Linked DNA regions of Canis lupus familiaris. The protein of the gene in region 3 purifies or fractionates together with the protein of the main gene of each other region. This does not show direct contact. Links are inferred from orthologs where the notes say so. Each region holds a gene or a part of one and is shown on either strand. Other genes may lie near its edges.

What was found.
Region 1: the proteins of PTPN5 (region 3) and MAPK14 purify together in Homo sapiens (affinity purification with mass spectrometry; 3 studies listed by BioGRID and IntAct, with this or other methods). This does not show direct contact. The link is inferred for Canis lupus familiaris from reciprocal best matches to the Homo sapiens genes PTPN5 and MAPK14.
Region 2: the proteins of PTPN5 (region 3) and MAPK3 purify together in Homo sapiens (affinity purification with mass spectrometry; 4 studies listed by BioGRID and IntAct, with this or other methods). This does not show direct contact. The link is inferred for Canis lupus familiaris from reciprocal best matches to the Homo sapiens genes PTPN5 and MAPK3.
Region 4: the proteins of PTPN5 (region 3) and MAPK1 purify together in Homo sapiens (affinity purification with mass spectrometry; 4 studies listed by BioGRID and IntAct, with this or other methods). This does not show direct contact. The link is inferred for Canis lupus familiaris from reciprocal best matches to the Homo sapiens genes PTPN5 and MAPK1.
Region 5: the proteins of PTPN5 (region 3) and ATP5PO purify together in Homo sapiens (affinity purification with mass spectrometry; 3 studies listed by BioGRID and IntAct, with this or other methods). This does not show direct contact. The link is inferred for Canis lupus familiaris from reciprocal best matches to the Homo sapiens genes PTPN5 and ATP5PO.

What each region holds. Positions count from the first base shown.
Region 1 is NC_049233.1:5,397,240-5,400,755, forward strand, and holds part of MAPK14 (mitogen-activated protein kinase 14), read left to right. Parts: intron 1-2,435; coding exon 2,436-2,609; intron 2,610-3,516. UniProt on the Homo sapiens protein: Serine/threonine kinase which acts as an essential component of the MAP kinase signal transduction pathway.
Region 2 is NC_049227.1:18,278,794-18,282,763, forward strand, and holds the start of MAPK3 (mitogen-activated protein kinase 3), read right to left. Parts: upstream 2,810-3,970; 5' UTR 2,796-2,809; coding exon 2,623-2,795; intron 1,609-2,622; coding exon 1,426-1,608; intron 1-1,425.
Region 3 is NC_049242.1:41,782,416-41,785,931, reverse strand, and holds part of PTPN5 (tyrosine-protein phosphatase non-receptor type 5), read left to right. Parts: intron 1-2,296; coding exon 2,297-2,376; intron 2,377-2,577; coding exon 2,578-2,715; intron 2,716-3,240; coding exon 3,241-3,351; intron 3,352-3,516. UniProt on the Homo sapiens protein: May regulate the activity of several effector molecules involved in synaptic plasticity and neuronal cell survival, including MAPKs, Src family kinases and NMDA receptors.
Region 4 is NC_049247.1:31,191,116-31,194,631, reverse strand, and holds part of MAPK1 (mitogen-activated protein kinase 1), read left to right. Parts: intron 1-523; coding exon 524-633; intron 634-2,908; coding exon 2,909-3,025; 3' UTR 3,026-3,034; intron 3,035-3,516. UniProt on the Homo sapiens protein: Serine/threonine kinase which acts as an essential component of the MAP kinase signal transduction pathway. MAPK1/ERK2 and MAPK3/ERK1 are the 2 MAPKs which play an important role in the MAPK/ERK cascade.
Region 5 is NC_049252.1:29,060,808-29,064,323, forward strand, and holds part of ATP5PO (ATP synthase subunit O, mitochondrial), read right to left. Parts: coding exon 3,469-3,516; intron 1,131-3,468; coding exon 1,001-1,130; intron 1-1,000. UniProt on the Homo sapiens protein: Subunit OSCP, of the mitochondrial membrane ATP synthase complex (F(1)F(0) ATP synthase or Complex V) that produces ATP from ADP in the presence of a proton gradient across the membrane which is generated by electron transport complexes of the respiratory chain.

The DNA.
Region 1 (3,516 bases), on a different chromosome or scaffold from region 3:
CCTTTCTTCTCTTCTTCTATATGCCCCTCCCTGCCCCCCCCCCCCGCCTCCCCCACCCCCATTCTGTCTTCTTTGTGGAGATAATTTGCCACCTCAGACTTTAAGGAATGGCTCCACATTCCTTCCTGCCACCATCACTTCCAGGATCCTTTGCAGAGGGAAGTAACAGTGGTAGCTGCAGGATATGTACTGCCTTGGCTAAAATGAAAGTTGATTTCTTCCTTGAAGTTGGCGTTATTATGTGCTTTGGTTGGCTCCTAAAAGTGGCACTGCCTGAGACCCTACCTCCCTGAATCAAGGATTGTGCAGTGGACAGTGCCATTTAACAGCAGACAGGGAAAAATCAGACCAGGCCTTCCTGTGACAGGGAAGGGAGCCATGCCATGATAATAGTATAAGCAACCTTCTCACTTTCCTGAAGATTGTGTTATGTTGGCATGTTAAAAAAATCATCCCTCTGCTTGGTCCCAGCAGCTGTACTTCAGGTTGTTTTGCCCTTTGAGAGCTGATAGTCATGACACCCTTTTCAGAAGTTGTAATGAAGGCTAAGTGGTTTCCCCTTTTTAAGTACTTTGTCCACAGTGCTCGTTGAGAGTGATTTCAGTGTTCCTGTGATAATTTTTACAATAGCAGAGATGCTTACATTCTTCGAAATGTTGGGCAGTTCTGGGTGAGTCTGTGTCAGCCTTGGAGATTGTAAGTATGTGAGTTCTCAGCAGGGCTACTCTCCCATCCAAAAATGAGCCCACAAACTCGTCAGGGCTATACACAGAATTCTATGCCATTGGTTCAGATTTGCATCTGCCCCGATCTGCTCCCCTTGGCTCTGTAGGATTTATTTGAGTTATATTATCAAGTTCAAGGATCTGTGAGAAGCTCTATTCAAGTCATAAATACTCTAGGATGTTGGGAAATTATGCTGGATGCTGGTAGTTTTCTTGTCTGTCATTCTGTTTTGAATGTATTTTCATCCTATCAGTTCATGTTTCAGACCTGGCAGTGCTCACTGTTTGACTTCCTATTAGCCAACTCCAAGAGATTTGTTAACTCATTTTTCTAGAGAAGGGAGATAAGGGGGCGGGGAGTATGTGTGTGTCCCCACAGCTTATTTAGGTCACATCCATCCTTCTCTGGAATCATGACATTTAAACATTCAAAAGAACTGGATACCACTTAGCAATACAGACTGCCAATGAGTTGAATGGAGGCTTTGGGCCATCTGGTGCTCAGCACGGCAGTTCTCAGAATCTAAACATGCCTGATAGCTCATTGCCAAATAGTGACGTCATACAAAGAGTCTCTTCTTGCAGACAGAACATGGTGTTACTGACCACGAACTTGTGCCCAGCATATTAACTGAGCAGGAACACACCGATGATGTAAATAATGACAGCTGCATTTTGTCAGTCACTGACTTCATGTTCGACTATTATTCTCAAAACACGAATTAAAAGTTGAATTGACCTTTGATATAGTGTGTGTTTGTATCTGTCAAGATCTTAGAGGAACCTTTTCCTTACCCCTGACCTTATTCCTCATCAAGGTATTGGTTATCAGGACATGGTTCTTTTCACCCTAGGAACCTCAGTCAGATGTAATGTGTGGTTCTTAATTGGATCCCAGTTTGAACAAACCAGGTGTAAAAGACAACTTTGGGATAACTGGAGAAGTTTTAACATAAACTGGATTTTTAGATGATATTTCAGAATTATTTGTCATATATAATGGTTTTGTGATTATATAGAAAGATGTATTTATGCTGAAATATTTAGAGGTAAAGTGTCATGTCTATCATTTTATTTTAAAATGGTCCAGCAAAAGCTCCAAATAGGTAAAAAAAGAAATAATGTTAATTGTTGGATATGGGTGGTAGGCGTATGAGTAATCACTATACTATTGTTTTGTATATTGAAATTTGTCATAGTGAAAATTTTATATTTCTTTTATCCAAATACCGTGTCTCACCCACACACCCATGTAAAACCCTCAGTTTGTTCATTGTTGGAAGATCTGTTTGATGAATATTCATTGCCTTATGTTAGTAAATAAACAGCACAGGGAGACAAAAAAGTGAAAAATCAAAAAATCCCTGCTTACCTTTTCTAGATTAGTTTGGTTATAAGTTTTCCTTTTGACACAGTTTGAGTACAGTCTTAGCTGTTTGACACTGACATTCTACAAAAGTTTGTTCATACAGAGTTTCGGTTATTTTTAAAACTTGTTCTTTAGTAACGTATTCTTAATACAAAACACATCCCTAGACATACATACACATAAAGAAGAAAAGAGATCATGTTTCTTAGAGCAGACACATGGGGGGAGAATTCTTTGTTCCATATGAAGACTCAATACTGTGTATTTGCTTAATAAGGCCTGATTTTTTTGGTGACGTGTTAAAAACTTTTTTTTTTCCTTCTAATCTGTGGGGCTGATAGCTGTCGACTTGCTGGAGAAGATGCTTGTATTGGACTCAGACAAGAGAATTACAGCAGCCCAAGCCCTCGCACATGCCTACTTTGCTCAGTACCATGATCCAGATGATGAACCAGTGGCTGATCCTTACGATCAGTCCTTTGAAAGCAGGGACCTCCTTATAGATGAATGGAAAAGTAAGTCATAAGAGCAGGATTAACATCAAGTGTGGGAACTTAGATTTTAAAATGTTTCTTAGGTGAGCCACTAACCAAAAGCTGTGGGAAAATAAAATTTCTGGTTATAATCAATTTGTTAAAACTTGTAACTAGTGTGTCTGATGCAGGATGGATATGTTCTTCTGATGGAAACTGTCTGTTGTAGATGATGACACTCTCTGGACCTTTGAGGTGCTTGTGTCTGGTCTGATTTTGTGCAACCCCCCCCCCTTACATCTGTATAGAGCTTCAAGGTTCTCAGAATCTGCGTTTACAACATCTGTCTGAGAGAAGTAGGGAATAAGGTATTTTTGTAGTTTTACGATTGATAAAACTCTAGAATTATAGTTTTATAATTTTTAAGAAGATTTTATTTATTTATTCATGAGAGACACAGAAAGGCAGAGACAAAGGCAGAGGGAGAAGCAGGCTCCCTGCAGGGAGCCCAAGGTGGGACTTGATCCCAGGACCACAACCTGAGCCAAAGGCAGACGCTCAACCACTGAGCCGTCCAGGTGCCCCTATAGTTTTATAATCGATAGTCTGCATCTTATCTGTTACCTTGGACCTACTTAGGGACACAGCCAGAAATGAAACCTATGTCTCCTCTATATCCCAACTTCAAATTCTTTCCATAAAAACACATTCAGAACTCCAGGTAGATCCCAAAGGCAAAATTATCTATTCCGTAGCTTGTAGAAGTGCTCTGCTATTCTTGAGCATCTTCTCCAGAGAGCTTAAAAGAGGAGGCACGGTGGAATGAAACAAATAAGTAAAAATAGTTCTTTTTGTGTATCCTTGAACTTCTATGTAATCACATGTTCCTTTAGGTTATAACATGTAAGCAATGAAGTGGTTATTTGAAGTCGTCCATCCAATCACTGGC
Region 2 (3,970 bases), on a different chromosome or scaffold from region 3:
GCAGTTATGAAGACTCAGTGAGGTGACCCATGGAAACCAGCCGGCCCAGTCCAGAGCCTAGCATGTTGTAAGTGCTCAGCAAACATGAACTAGTGTTGCTATGATAAATGCCTAAGCCACATGGCTGTTGAGAGGGTTAAATGAGATAGTGTGAACACCATCTGGCATGCAATAAATGTTTGCTTAAAAATAAATGCCTGCCTTATGGGGAATGGTTTGGGCAAGACAAATGAGGAGAAACTCCCAACAGCATGCTCCTCCTCAAAGAGTGCCTGGCCATACATCAGAAGATGGAAGAGTAAATGTCCTTTGGTATTTTAAGAGAAAACAAAGATTAAACATACGTTAAGTAAATAAATAAATAAATAAATAAATGCCATTTGGTTGCTCTCTGAAAGAATAAGTCAGGGCTGTCTTTTAGAATCAGCCTTGAAAGAGCCTTCTGAAGACACCTGGGCCGATTATGCTGTTTGAGAGGTGAGGAGGCCCAGCAAGATGCAGTGACTTGCTTAAGGTCACACAGCAAGCTAGTGGCGAGTGTGGAGATTTCCTGCCCACAGCTTGTGGTGGGGGCTGCAGACAGTGCAGCACAAATCCCCACATTTGGGTGGAGAACTGGGACTGGCTGGGGGTGGGTAGGGTGGGGAGAGGTGATGGGTGCTATAAGCTGCTAACAACAGGGCCTGACAGGAAGTGGACGACAAGCTAGGGAAGCAATGTGGGGGGGGGAGGGCAACAAAGACAAGGCTGTCCCTCCCTGGGCGAAGTGCAAGTCCACAGGTGACTGGGGTGAGGCTCTGAGCAGGAAATGTCAGAGAAAGGACAGTTCTCATCTGGGGGAGGTTAGGAGGCAGCAACAGCAGCACCTGATTTGGGGCTTTCTGAGCCTCAGTTTTCTCATCTTTGAAATGGAGCTGATGAGACCCATCTCATACAGCAGCTGGGAGGTAGAATAAGAAGTGTCAAAGCATTTGGCGTGCACTGCACCTCACTCATAGTAGGCCCTTCAGAACGGGCAGTTTTCTTCCTTCCTGCCTTCCTTCCAGTCTGCAGACCCAGAGAGGAAAGAATCATCATCTGTTAAACAAGAACTGTCTGTGGGCAGAGGCTGGGTCACGTCACAGAAATGCAGATGTCAAAAGACAAAGCTCCCATAGAGCCCAACTCTCACCCTCCCCCCAAATGAGGCACAGCATGGAGCACAGACTTGCCCAAGGCCACACAGCCTGGTTACAGCAGGCCAGGATTCACCTCAGGCCTCCCAGTCCTCTTACACTCTGTGGTCTCTTTTCTGCTGGAAAGTTTCATTTGCTGGGTTTGTTTTGGAGTGTGGCAGGAAAGAAGGAAACAGAAAGAAAGCCAACGTTCTCCCAGCCCGGCTCTGAGGCTATGCCTAGCCAGCCATCTGGCCAAGGTGAAGGATACACATCCCTCATGGCGTCCAGGGTGGGCGCCCGCAGAATGTCCCGAATGCCAATGACGTTCTCATGGCGGAAGCGCAGCAAGATCTGGATCTCCCTCAGTGTGCGCTGGCAGTAGGTCTGATGCTCAAAGGGGCTGATTTTCTTGATGGCCACGCGAACCTTGCGCACGTGGTCGTAAGCTGAGCTGAGAGGGTCAGAGAGATGTTGTTGGTGTGGCCTTACATAGGGGGAGTCCAGGCCTGGTGGCCCTACCCAGGCCTGAGCAGGGAGGGGAGGGAGCATGAGAGGACTCTGGCCAAGTCATAAACAATGCTGGTTCCTTCCTGCTGTGAAGGCCTGGGATCTCCAGGGAGAAAGCTGGGGACCAGCCAGGCAGCCCTTCGGTGACTTCACAAACAGAGGAAGAGACTGACCGTTCACTGACTTCCCCTCTCCTCAGCCCTGTCCATTCTAGTTGCCCTGACCTCTCATCCTCCCCTCTCCAGGCTGGGCTCCTTCAACCCAAGACAGGTCCAGGGAGTGGGAGGTGAGTGCAGGACGCACAGTGAGGCACAGTGAGAAGGAGGCGGTCAGGAGGGATGGGAAAGAAGGGATGAGGTGTTAGGGTCAGGCACCTGGGCAGGAGAGCTGTTCCCAGATGAACAAAGGCCCAGAGCACACAGTGGGGACGAGAGAGCTAACAGACCCCTTCTAAAAGTTGCAAGAACGCACCCCTGGACCCCTCATGGGTCACCGGGCTCCTGGCCCCAGGCCCAAAGCCCTGCCCCACCCTGCCCAGCCCTGAGCTCTGCTCTCCCCAGCTCCTTGGCAGGCCTCACTGGGAGAATCCAAGGCATCCTTTCCCCAGAGTAGGGTCCTTCACTCGGTCCTCACTGATATCACCTCCCCAAGAATACTTCGTGTCTCCGCCTCCTCCCGCGTCCACAGAGTCCCCAGGGTCCCCCCACGGCTCCCCCGCGGACACTCCGATGCCCCTCCCTTCACTACAGAATGGTCGCTCCTGAGGCCTCCCAAGCCCCCTCCCCTTAGAACGTAGGCGGCGCCGCTCCCCCAGAGCACCCCAGGGCCGCGCCGTGGGACGCCCCGCCGGCCTCGTGAAGCCCCCGCCTCCTCGGGACCCTGGGAGCGCCCCGGCCCGAGGGCACTCACCCTCGCGCGCGCCCCCCCACGAGCCCCCTCCTCCGGAACGCCCCCTCACCTGACCATGCCGTACGCGCCCTCGCCGATGTAGTGCAGCTCCGTGTAGCGCGGGCCCACGTCGAACGGCTGCCCCTTCACCACCTCCACCTCCCCCGAGACCCCCGGGCCGACCCCATCGGCTCCCCGGGGCTCCCCGCCCCCGCCCCCCTGAGCCGCCGCCGCCGCCGCCATCTCCACTCCTCCCCTCCCGCCTCCCCGCCTCCCCCCGGCGGCCCCGCCCGAGGCCCCGCCCCTTCCCGCCCGCCCCGCGCCCCGCGCCCCGCGCCCCGCCGCCGGCTGAGCCGCGTGCGCCAGGCCCCGCCCCCGCGCGCCCCCGCGCGCCCCCGCGCGCCCCACGTGACCCCCGCGCGCTCCCGGGCGCCCTCGGCTGCTGCCCGGGTCCCCGGTGCCCGGCCGCTCCGTCTGCTGCTGGCAGCCCGTAGGGACGAGCGCGGCGGCCGGGAGACGGTGCACCCCTCCCGCCGAATGCAGGCTATAGCCGGCAGGGCCGCCAGGTGACCTTCCCGGAGCCACCCAGCAAGCGGGTGCGGGAGCTGGGGCCGGGACCGAGTCGCCTGGCCCCGCCAGCTCTGCTGCCAACCGAGTCGCGGCCCGGGGCTCGAGATGGAGCCCCAAGGGGGCCCTCCCCAGCCCTCTGGAGTGTGGCCTCCGAGCGAGGCTCGGCCCGACGACACACGGCCGCATCCGCATTTCCCAGTAGCGTGGGAGATGGCTTCTTCGCAGATACGGCCTGCCTTTCACAGATGAGGGGCCGAGGCTGGTGACTTGGAGCCACCGAGAACCCGCAGGTCCAGACTCAGCCTAATGGGTTTCTGACAGGCCTGCGAGAGTGGACTAGGGGCTTGGCCTCTTGCCAGCGACAGTACAGTGCTGGAAGTGAGCACCCATAACCTCAGCCCATTTAGGTGGAACTGCAACAGAAGGGCGGGAAAGCTGCCTGCAGTGTTGACCAGGTTTGGTTAAAATACACTATCAGGCTTCTCTCAAAAAACAGCAAAATAGGTGACGATTTTGTTGTCATTGGACTTGGTGAAACTGGAATCCTGGCAGGATCACCATCTTTTGATGGGATGCAAGATTTTGTAGTTTACACCATACTTGGACCAGCTGGGTTTCTTCCATAGGACAACCGCACATTATAGGTGTCCTCCGATTTTCTTAACAGGATGAGCAGGGGCCATGTCTGTCTTGCTCATTACTGTATCCTCCCCTGTACCTGACGCTCAGACGTTCAAAGATTTTTGACTGGATAAATCAAATTGTATGGATGGGGAGTTGAGACTTAAAATGATATCTTTTGACACAGAGGCAGAGGCTCTTTTCAATTCCATTCAATCTCCCAGAAT
Region 3 (3,516 bases):
GCCCCAGGGGCTGAGACTTCAGGCATGAATGAGCCATGGGGACTTCATGGTCTCGTGGGGGAACAGACCCATGGACGGTGAGTAGGACAGAGTGACCAGTGACCCAGCTGGCAGCACTGAAGGCAAAATAACAGGGGAGCGATTTCTGTCCTTTTTGTCACCACGTCCCAAGTGCCAAAATAGTGCCTGGCACCTCGTAGACAGTCTGCTCCTATTTGAGTGAGGGAGGGAAGGAGGGAATGAATGAATGAACGTCTCTCAGGTCAGCTCAGCCTCTCCATCCTCACTGCCGGATGACTTTTCGGGGGCCAGGGCTTGTCTGTTGCCCAGTCCCATACCACCCCTGGAGTTGTGCCAGGCAGTCGTCTCCTGACTGCCCTGCTGAAGCCCACACTCTTCCCTCCTGTTCTTCGGCTACCGTTAGCACAGAAATGGTAGAAAGCAGAAATCCAATCGTGTCATCCTCTTCCTTAAACATTGTCACCATCCCCCTTGTAATCCTCGGGTTTTGGCCCAGCCTTGATTTATAAGACCCTCTGTCGGTCCCTCTCCAGGCCATGTCTCTGCCCCCCCCCCCACCCCCCTGCCCTGTGCCCTGTGCCCTGGACTCAATCACACAGGGTGCTGCTGTTCCTTACTCCTCTCCTGCTGTCAGACCCCATGCAGCCTACCTGCCTGCCCACCTGCCCCATACTCGGGGGCAAGGACGTGTCTCGTTCACTGAGGAGTCCCTACCCTCGAGCCCTGCACCAGGCACAGAGACCGCGCCCAGTGGGGTCATCATTCCCACAGTGGTTCTTTAGTGCCACAGGCCCTCCTGGTGTCTGGTCCGAGGGTGCTGTGCCTACTTCTGACACCTAATCTGGGCAGGCACCGCCAAGAAGGGAGATGGCCCCTCAGCACGCCCTGCTCCTTCCTTCCACTGACCACGCAGCATCCCCTCCACTCACCCCCTCCCTCTGCCCTCCTAACACCCCTCTGTGCCCCCATCCACAGGGGCAGCCCCACCATGGGGCTGGGCATAAAAGGGCCAGAGGGCAGAGGCCTGTGAGTGTCACCTGTTTGTCCTACCCGGTTTGGGATCCTCTCTACCTGTTAACTTCTAGGGAAGCTCTGTGCCATATGGTGTGTGCCGGGCTAAGTTACTGGTTTAAGGCCAAGCTACCATTCCCTCCTTTCATCCTTACAAGACGAGTGGGGCTGTGATGGAAGGGATGTCTCCAGTTCACAGACCCACACAGGGAAATTAAGTCAATGGTGCACACTGCTAGCAAGCCACAGCATCAGGACTCGAACCCAGCCCTCTGGCTCCCTGTACTGTCTCGGAGAGCCCCCGGCTGTGTGCCGGAAGCTCCTTCAGTTCAGCTGTCCCTATTTAGGAAAGAAAGGGAAACCCAGAGAAGGGATAAGACTGTGAGCTGGTGACAGAGCCAGGGCAGAAGCCAGGGCCCCGTTCCCCCCACCCCACGACGTCCCTGCCCACCCCACGCACCCTCCCATCTCTAGGCCCAGCCTCTGCGGCCTGACCAAAGAGGCAGTTCAGGGAGGCTCTCGCTGGCACAAAATGGATTCCGTTCCAGGAAGAGGAGCAGGAGGTTGTGAGAATCTATAACTGTGGGATTGGACATGTCAGTCGATGGAGAAAAAAGAAAACAAAAAACAAAAACCCTTCGTGCACGTGTGTGCATCTGCTGCGGAGACCCTGCCATTGCGTTGCAGGCGCGGGAGGCTCGGCGCTCTCCATCCCTCGGCTCTCCCTCAGCTTTCTACCCCCAAATCTCAACAGCCCTATATATTTGTAAAGCACTTGACGGTTTACATCGCACCTTCCCAGCTGTTTTCTCATTTGTCTTCCCAACAACCCTAGGAAGTAGGCAGCTTTACCCCTGTATTTCAGACGGGACAGTTGAGGCTTAGGAAGGCCGTGTGCCGTTCAGGTGGACCCAGCTCGTCAGTGACCGTGTGCACCCAAACCCTCGCTGCCCCCGCTGACCGGGATGTGTCCCCTGGGTCATCCTTTTCTTGACTTAGCTCTGCCCTCTCCAGAACATGAGGCCCAGGGAGCCCAGGGCAGCTTGAGGGACCCGGGCAAGGGGCCGGCACTCCTGCTGTGCAGGTAGACACCCAGGGCCATGGAGATGGGCCAGGGTTTTGCTAGCAGGCAGGGGAAGGAGGAATTTCAGGAGCCCTGGGAGAGATGTGGGTGCCCTGCAGTGAGCCAGATGGGATGGGCCCCGCGCTAGAGGGGTTGTTGCACCTGTCACATGCCAGCCTCACCCACCTCCCCCCACCCCAGACCCCCACAGCAGAGTGTGTCTGACCTCACCAGACCCTGATGACCCTCTGAGTTCCTACATCAACGCCAACTACATCCGGGTACGTAGCCCTATCCCAGTGACCCACCCCCCACCCCCCGAAAGGGAGGCCCAAGCCAACAGGATCTGTCCTCCAGGCTTGTCCCTAAGCCAGCGGGGGCTCCTGCCACCCTGCGCTCCCCGGGGGGAGGGCCTGAGGGTGGGGACTGGGCCCAAGGAGCACCGCATCGGACCCTGACGGCCTGAACTTGACTGGCCGCAGGGCTACGGCGGGGAGGAGAAGGTGTACATCGCCACTCAGGGACCCATCGTCAGCACAGTCGGTGACTTCTGGCGCATGGTGTGGCAGGAGCACACGCCCATCATCGTCATGATCACCAACATCGAGGAGATGAACGAGGTAGGCACCCCTGCGCTGTTAGCAGGGGTCTGTCCTTTCCATATTAATCTCTAGAACAATGCTGAGGTTGGTAGCCTGCTGCCAAGGTGAGGGAATGGGGAGGCCGGGCAAGGTTAGGCCATTTGCTCAGGGCCACGTAGGTGGGCAGAGCCTGGAGCCGGCCTCTCCACCCCGGCTGTCTGTGACCTGAAACAGGCTGCTCTGCACCCCCCCCCCCCTCCAGCCAGGGCTCACCTGCCTGCGTCTGTACCCATACCAACCTGTTTCATTGAATCCCCAGAAGAGTCCTTCAAAGTAGGTATTCCAATTTCCGGATGAGGCAACTGATGCTCAAAAAAGAAAATTTACAGGTTAGGAAGCTGAGATTTGAACCCAGCGCTCTCTAACCGCAGACCTGTTGCCCTTTTATGTCTTTCCCTGCTGGTCCTGGAGAGGAGGGGCTGGCGGGTGGCGGCGGGGAGCAGGGTGGGGGCGCGGGGAGTGGTAGGACTGTGAGTGTATGAAGCCTGGTCTGGGCCCCCGCAGAAGTGCACTGAGTATTGGCCGGAGGAGCAGGTGGTGTACGACGGTGTGGAGATCATCGTGCAGAAGGTCATTCATACTGAGGATTACCGGCTGCGAGTCATCTCCCTCAGGGTGAGGCCAGGGGCCGGGCCAGGCGGATGGGGGGAAGGGCCCAGATAACAGGGTCCAGGAGTGCACTACGGCTGAAATCCAGGCCTGTGTCACTCTCAGGATGTAGCAGGGAGGAGGGAGGGGGGAGGAGGGGTGGATGACTTGGGGGCCAGAGGCAGGAGCAAA
Region 4 (3,516 bases), on a different chromosome or scaffold from region 3:
TTGGAGAAAGATGCCAAGCTGCAGAGTGGGCCAGGGGGCCTGTGCTTCACACATGGATCTCAGCCAGGACCTGGAAACCACACAGGAGGACAAGTGACCATTGTCTTCTGTGACCTTAGAGGCCTTCTTTATATGTTGAAAGATAAACTGACCATTGCAGAGAGGACTTTGGATTTCAGAGAAATACATATATAACACTTTACCTTCAGATGCCTGCAAAACATAAGAATGGTTTAGGGGAAAAAATCCAGGTTTTGTAGGAAGAGTTGGGTTTGAACCCTAGGCTTCCACTTTCAGCCTTTGGCTGATCACATCACCTTTCTGAGTCTAGGTCTGCAATTGTTAGATTAGCCACAGTCTTGAGAAGCTCAGAGAGGTAATAGGCACCCAGTGTGCTGCTGGCTCTTCTCCCCATAGTGATGCTTAGTTCCATTGTTTCATGAGTCAATTTAAACAGGAAATGGAAAGTAATCAGTAAATGTTCCTTTGGCTTCTCACCACTGCAAAACCTTTCTCTTTGTAGCTCTGGATTTACTGGACAAAATGTTGACATTCAACCCTCACAAGAGGATTGAAGTAGAACAGGCTCTGGCCCATCCGTATCTGGAGCAGTATTATGACCCAAGTGATGAGGTAAGACCTATACCCTGGCTGCTGCTTCAGGAATATCTATCAGGCAGCAGTAGGCCCAACCAGGAAGGGCCCAGATGTCACGTTAGATTGGTTCTGAGAAGTGTATGATGCCACACCTGGTCCTCTCAGCCTGCATTGTCTGCTTGAGGACTAGTACTGTCAGCACAGCTTGAAACCTCTCCCTACCCCACCCCCCAAACCCCTTCTGTCTCAGAAAGCTTCCTCCAGGGCACCTGCAGCAGAGGTGGGACTGGGGAAATAGATGAGTAAAGGGGAGCACGAATAAACAGGCAGTCCAAGGCTAGAGACCATTGTCATGGTCTGTGGCAGGAAGAGCTACCTCAATCACAGTGCCTGTCTGAGGGTGGAAAGGAGGCCAACTGCCTGCTTGGAGAGGGGCATTGCAAGGGGGCGGTATGCCTGGTATGTGCCTGGTATGCCTCCTTAGGTATGGGGATACTAGAGCCTCTTGTGGTAAGAAATGCGTCCAGAGGTGGATGTGGCAGGCCTCCAAAGCCAGGTAAAGATCCTGTGTGTAAAAAAAAAAAAAAAAAAAAATCCTGTGTGTCATGTTTATCTCTAAGAAAGTCCCAGTTCCTTAGCCTCTTGGATTCTTCTGGGGCTTTATTCTCTGGATGGTAATGAAGAAAAATGTAGTATGAACCAAAGTTTGGATCTTTCTAGTGGAGGCTCATGCAGAGACAGTAAGCTTTCATAAGAGAACCAAGCGGAGTGTGTTAAAAGGAAAAATGGAAGAGGAAAAGAAAAAGATATAAAAGTTAAAAACTGATAAATGAAAGAGAAAGAAGAAATCAAAAAGAGGAAGTATTTCCTAATTAGCCCCCTTCCATCTCTGTCCCCTACCCTCAGAAATAATGGAGGCAGCTTACAAAGATACCTACAACATAATAAATAATAGGGAAGGAGGGGAGAGTGTAAAGTTTGGAGCTCTGACCAGCCCTATGAGCCCCCCGTGTCCTAATCACAAGCCTAGGTGGTACTCCAAATCCAGTTAGCAGGTGGGAGGACCAGAAGGATGGCATATGTGGGACACCATTGTGACCTCACACATACAGCTGCCCTTCAAAGAGGGCTAACTACTTGTTTTTCTCTTGTGGACACGAATCCTTTTCCCCCTTTCAAAAAACCAATGCTTAGTGCAGAGTTGGTGTCCATGTTTCCTTACCCTGAAGGCCTGGTGTGAGGATTACATGGATAAAATCTAGGAGTGCCTGGTAACTAGGCATCCACTGATTGATAGCTGGAATCCTCATCAGATTAGTTGTAGAACATTGTGTTAGTTTGGAGGTACTTAAAAATCAAAATATAAATAATATCAATTGACTGATTTTCTTTTTCACCATTGTATATATGGAAATTCTTTGACATAGTCATTTTAAATATGTACTTAAATATTAAATAGCCTTCTGATTAGTCATAGGTTGTGCTGAAAAGTAAAAATGAAAACTTGCAGAAAACTATGACAGATCATGTTGTAGTCTTGTTACACAGATATTAAGATTTTGGAGTATTTTCTTCTCAGTCTAATATTTCTGTATCTAAACTTTTTTTAAAAACAGGGTTTTGTTTAACACAAACATGCACATTTCCCCATAATATTATTCTTTCTTACGGCTTCATTTTTAATGACTCCATAGTAATTTTTCATATGAAGATAGTATAATGTATTTAATCAAGTATTTGATTTTGAGTATCATGGCTTTTGATTGTGTAAACCTATCCCCACAACAGCAAATTTCTGTTACTTCAATACTTAGTGCCTTAAAATTTTTTTTTTTTTTTTTTTTTTAAGATTTTATTTATTTACTCATGAGAGACACAGAGAGAGAGAGAGGCAGAGACACAGGCAGAGGGAGAAGCAGGCTCCCCGCAAGGAGCCGGATGCGGGACTCGATCATGGATCCCAGAATCATGCCCTGGGCCAAAGGCAGATGCTCAACCACTGAGCCACCCCGGTGTCCCAGTGCCTTAAAATTTTGAAAATGATTTTGGGATTAGTGGTAAATTCAGAAGAGTGGTCAAAATAGATTTAGTTGCTCCCCGTGCATTTACTGTATGTTCACAGAAAATGTGCCTTTTGGATCACGTAGATGGAATACGGGTACATAGATACTTCTCAGAGCTTTTGGGTTTCCAAAGATGTCAGTGCTACTATATACATTTCAGAGTTGAATCCACATACATTATGAATCAGTACATGACTACCTCAACCACAATCACTCTTGTCTACTCCATGTTCTTTGCTCTCCTACAGCCCATCGCTGAGGCGCCATTCAAGTTTGACATGGAGCTAGATGACCTGCCCAAGGAAAAGCTCAAGGAGCTCATCTTCGAAGAGACAGCTAGATTCCAGCCGGGATACAGATCTTAAATTTATCAGGTACCTAGAGTTTTAGTCGCACAACAAACCCTGGTGAGGGAGAGAGAATATAAATTAAATGTTATTAAAAAGAAAGGGGAAGCCTGGGTGGCTCAGTGGTTGAGTGTCTGCCTTTGGCTCAGGACATGATCCCAGGGTTCCGGGGTCAAGTCCTCCATCGGGCTCCCCACGAGAAGCCTGCTTTTCCCTCTGCCTATGTCTCTGCCTCTCTCTCTCTCTCCCTCTCTCCCTCTCTCTCTCTCTCTCTCTCTCTTAAATAAATAAATAAATAAATAAATAAATAAATAAATAAATAATAAATAAATAAATAAATAAAATTTACAAAATATTTCCTTGAGTTCCACATGGAAGTTTCCTTTGCTTAAGTTTTAAAGGGTGGTGAGCAATGTTGTGGTATCGGTAAGATTTCAAAAAATTGTGTTCAAGAAAAAGGAAATGCAGATCTTGATTTTAGAGAACATACAGAAAGAGGAGAGAGAATA
Region 5 (3,516 bases), on a different chromosome or scaffold from region 3:
GGTTGAGTGCCTGCCTTCGGCCCAGGGCGTGATCCTGGAGCCCTGGGATCGAGTCCCACATCGGGCTCCTTGCATGGAGCCTGCTTCTCCCTTTGCCTGTGTCTCTGCCCCTCTCTCTCTCTCTCTCTCTGTGTCGCTCATGAACAAATAAATAAAATCTTAAAAAAAAAAGAAAAAAAAAAAGAATGTGAATACAAAGGAGATACAACTTGTTGTTGTTTAAAAAGTATATCCAGGGCAGCCTGGGTGGCTCAGTGGTTTGGCTCCTGCCTTCAGCCCAGGGCGTGATCCTGGAGACCTGGGATCGAGTTCCGCATTGGGCTCCCTGCATGGGGCCTGCCTCTCCCTCTGCCTGTGTCTCTGCCCCCTCTTTGTGTCTCATGAATAAATAAATAGAATCTTAAAAAAAAAAAAAAAAAGTATATCCAATGTTTAAAAGAACCAGCACTGACAGGCATTTATATCAGTAAGGCGGGTGTAGGGGGAGGTCTCAGAGATCTGCAACAGGCATCTTCATCACAGCCTGTGGTCTGATTCTCCTATTTCTGGTTAGATTCCAGTGTTTGGCTACAAATCCCCAAATTAACATATATCTATATTCAAAGATGGTTTGCTTTGGAGCCCGTATTCTGGCTGACCACAGGACTTCAAAGTCAAGCCAAATGCACCAAAGAATCCACCTGTCTTCAAGGACAGAGGTACAGCCCTGGCTGCAAACCATTTTCTGGGTATGAATCCCACCGGTCTTCTCCATAGGGTGAAGGTACTGACTGTAATTATCTTCTTACATCCTAACATCCTTCAGACAGTGCTCCTCAAACTTTAATGCACAAACAATTCACCTGGGGAGCTAGTTAAGATGAAGATTCCGACTTAGCAGGTTGGCTAAGTCCTGAGACGCTTCACTGCCAAAAGGCAGGTAATGCTGATGCTCCTGATCCTTGGACATTTCCAATAGCAAGATTTCCAGCAGCTTCAGTGGAAAAGGTCTAATACTTACTGATCAGGTTGGATGTGATAGGAGAGAACCTCTCTTTTGCTGTCATGTCATTTAGGCTTTTCACTTTCACGGAACGCTTTATGTAGGGATTCATAATGGAAGCAGCCATTTTAGGTTCCTTCAAGATTTGCTGAAAGTACCAAAAAATAATTTCGTAAACTCCTTAAAGCATAAATGATCCTAGCTGCCACAACATACTTCTTTCGCATGAATCACGTATTTCGTTAATTAGCACTCAAGCACTTATGAAGAGAAGTTTACAATCAAGTACTTTTCATTGCCTTTGAGAATACTTTCTACCTTTATCTCATATATTTCTTGAAAAAATTTAAAAACACTTTGTAAGGTTTCTTAAGTCTATTTTTGCTTTTCAAGAGATTATTAAAAAATTAAGCAGCCAAAATAGTCAATTAACTGCATATTGTTAACGTATTTAATATGGGTAATCCTCTAGATTTTCACAAACTACGAGAAGGCTAGTGATGCTAACACTCATGTGCAGACCTAAAAAGGTGCTCTGATGGCAAAGGAGGCCTCCTTGTCATGCCCTGGGAGGGGGCCTCTATGTCTCAGCCTGGTCCTGCCCCTGCCCTGTCTCTTACAGGGCCCCGTGAGAGACCTCTGGTGTTTCCAGAGAAGCCTCAGCCATTCTGGGATGGGAGGTGGCTACCAGGAGTGACAGCATGGGTCTCTATTTTGTTAATTCATAAATGTCTGTTTTCAGTGACCCAAGGTAACTTCTGGTACCCTGTTCCCCTCTGTATCAGGCCAGAGTTCAATGAACCAATGGCTGTTTCCATCCGGGCACCTTTCGTTCAATTAAATACCCCTGGCAGTCCCTTTTCTCAGGCTCCTGGCCAGAACTGTGAGTCTAATCCAGGCTACTTGTCACATACTAGCATCTAGGGCTAAAATTTCAATTTAAGTGACTCCATAAAAACAACACTTTCCCCTAAAAATTGCTGACTTACAAAAATTAAAAGCATTCTGGTGTTTGGGGAATCCAGTATTTCATGTTTCTAGTTTTTTTCTGCTCCATCATCCAGTGGGAAAGCTTTGTAGTGGCATCTGTGTAGCATTAACACTTTCCTCTCAGTTCTAAAAAACTGCTAATTTTTTATAGAGACTTCAGGTAATTGCTTCCTTTCTATCTCTCTGTATCTTAACCGATTTCCAGGTTTTAGTCAAACCCCATTCTAAGAACCACAACCCAGGTCACGCTCTCTACTGTGAACACTGCTGTTCACGTTTAAAATGGGCATAAATGACAAGAGCGGGCAGTAAGTATCAGCTCCAAAAGAGCTGTGTGTGAGCCTGCCTGCTCTGTGTGGATCATGCCAACTAAGACCGCAAGCATCATCTGCAGACATAAAGGAATACAGAGCTAATGTTATCCACTAGGACAAAAGTTCTGATAAAAAAGCTTACAATGAAAAATGAACAAGTATCATCCTATGTGACTAGCCTGTGAGGGTTTTCTCTTCTGAACAGTAAGATAAAAAAATCTTTAGAAATAAGTGGATTAAAAATACAAGAACTTCTGAAAGCATAATACCAAAAAAGAGCAAAACTTTCTTGGGAGAGGGTATAGACTCCACCTTCAATCTAGAACTCAAAGAGGAGAATTTCAGGATGCCTGGGTGGCTCAATGGTTGAGCGTCTGCCTTCGGCTCAGGGTGTGATCCTTAAGTCCTAGGATTAAGTCCCACATCAGGCTTCCTGCGTGGAGCCTGCTTCTCCCTCTGCCTGTATCTCTGCCTCTCTCTCTGTGTCTCTCATGAATAAATAAAATCTTTGGGAAAAAAAAAAGAGAGAGAGAATTTCTGCTGTAAACAAAATGGGCAGGAACCTGTTAACTAGAAAATGGAGTTAAAATTACAGCAGATTTTCCCCTTTAAGTTACATAGTAGACTTCGGTTAATTCAATTATTTTACTCTTTATGTTAAAAAAAATGTTAAAATGGACTCCCTTGTAAGCTTCATTATCTTTATCAGTTCTCTATTATCATTACAGAGCCCATATGACTTTCCTAATTTTGCTGCCCAGCATGCTGTGCTTGGTCATTTTCCTCTCACATCTTGGGAATAAAATAAAAATTGAAACTGAGGAAAGGCTTCAAAAGGAAAAGAAATTCCTAGTAAGGCACGTTATAATACATTCTAAAAACTATTTTGAAAATACCTGAAATACAAACACAGATTTTCAAAGGTGACTTCTATTTCTCCTCTAAGCCCCAAGTCTTGGTTCCTAATATTAATATCCTGGTATGTATCTGCCTGTACCTACCACACAATAGGTTCAAAATATTAATACCCACTACTATCACTATCAACATGATTTCGGGTTTTTTCTTTTTTTATAGTTCATTTTCTCTCAGGATATGTCTCATTAGGGCTACACGGCCAAATAACCAAAACAAAAAACATATGATCGAAATTTAGTAAGTAATGAACAAAAAACTACTTACTGCTACTCTCAACAATTCCTTTTCTACTTGTTCCAGTTTATTCTGTTT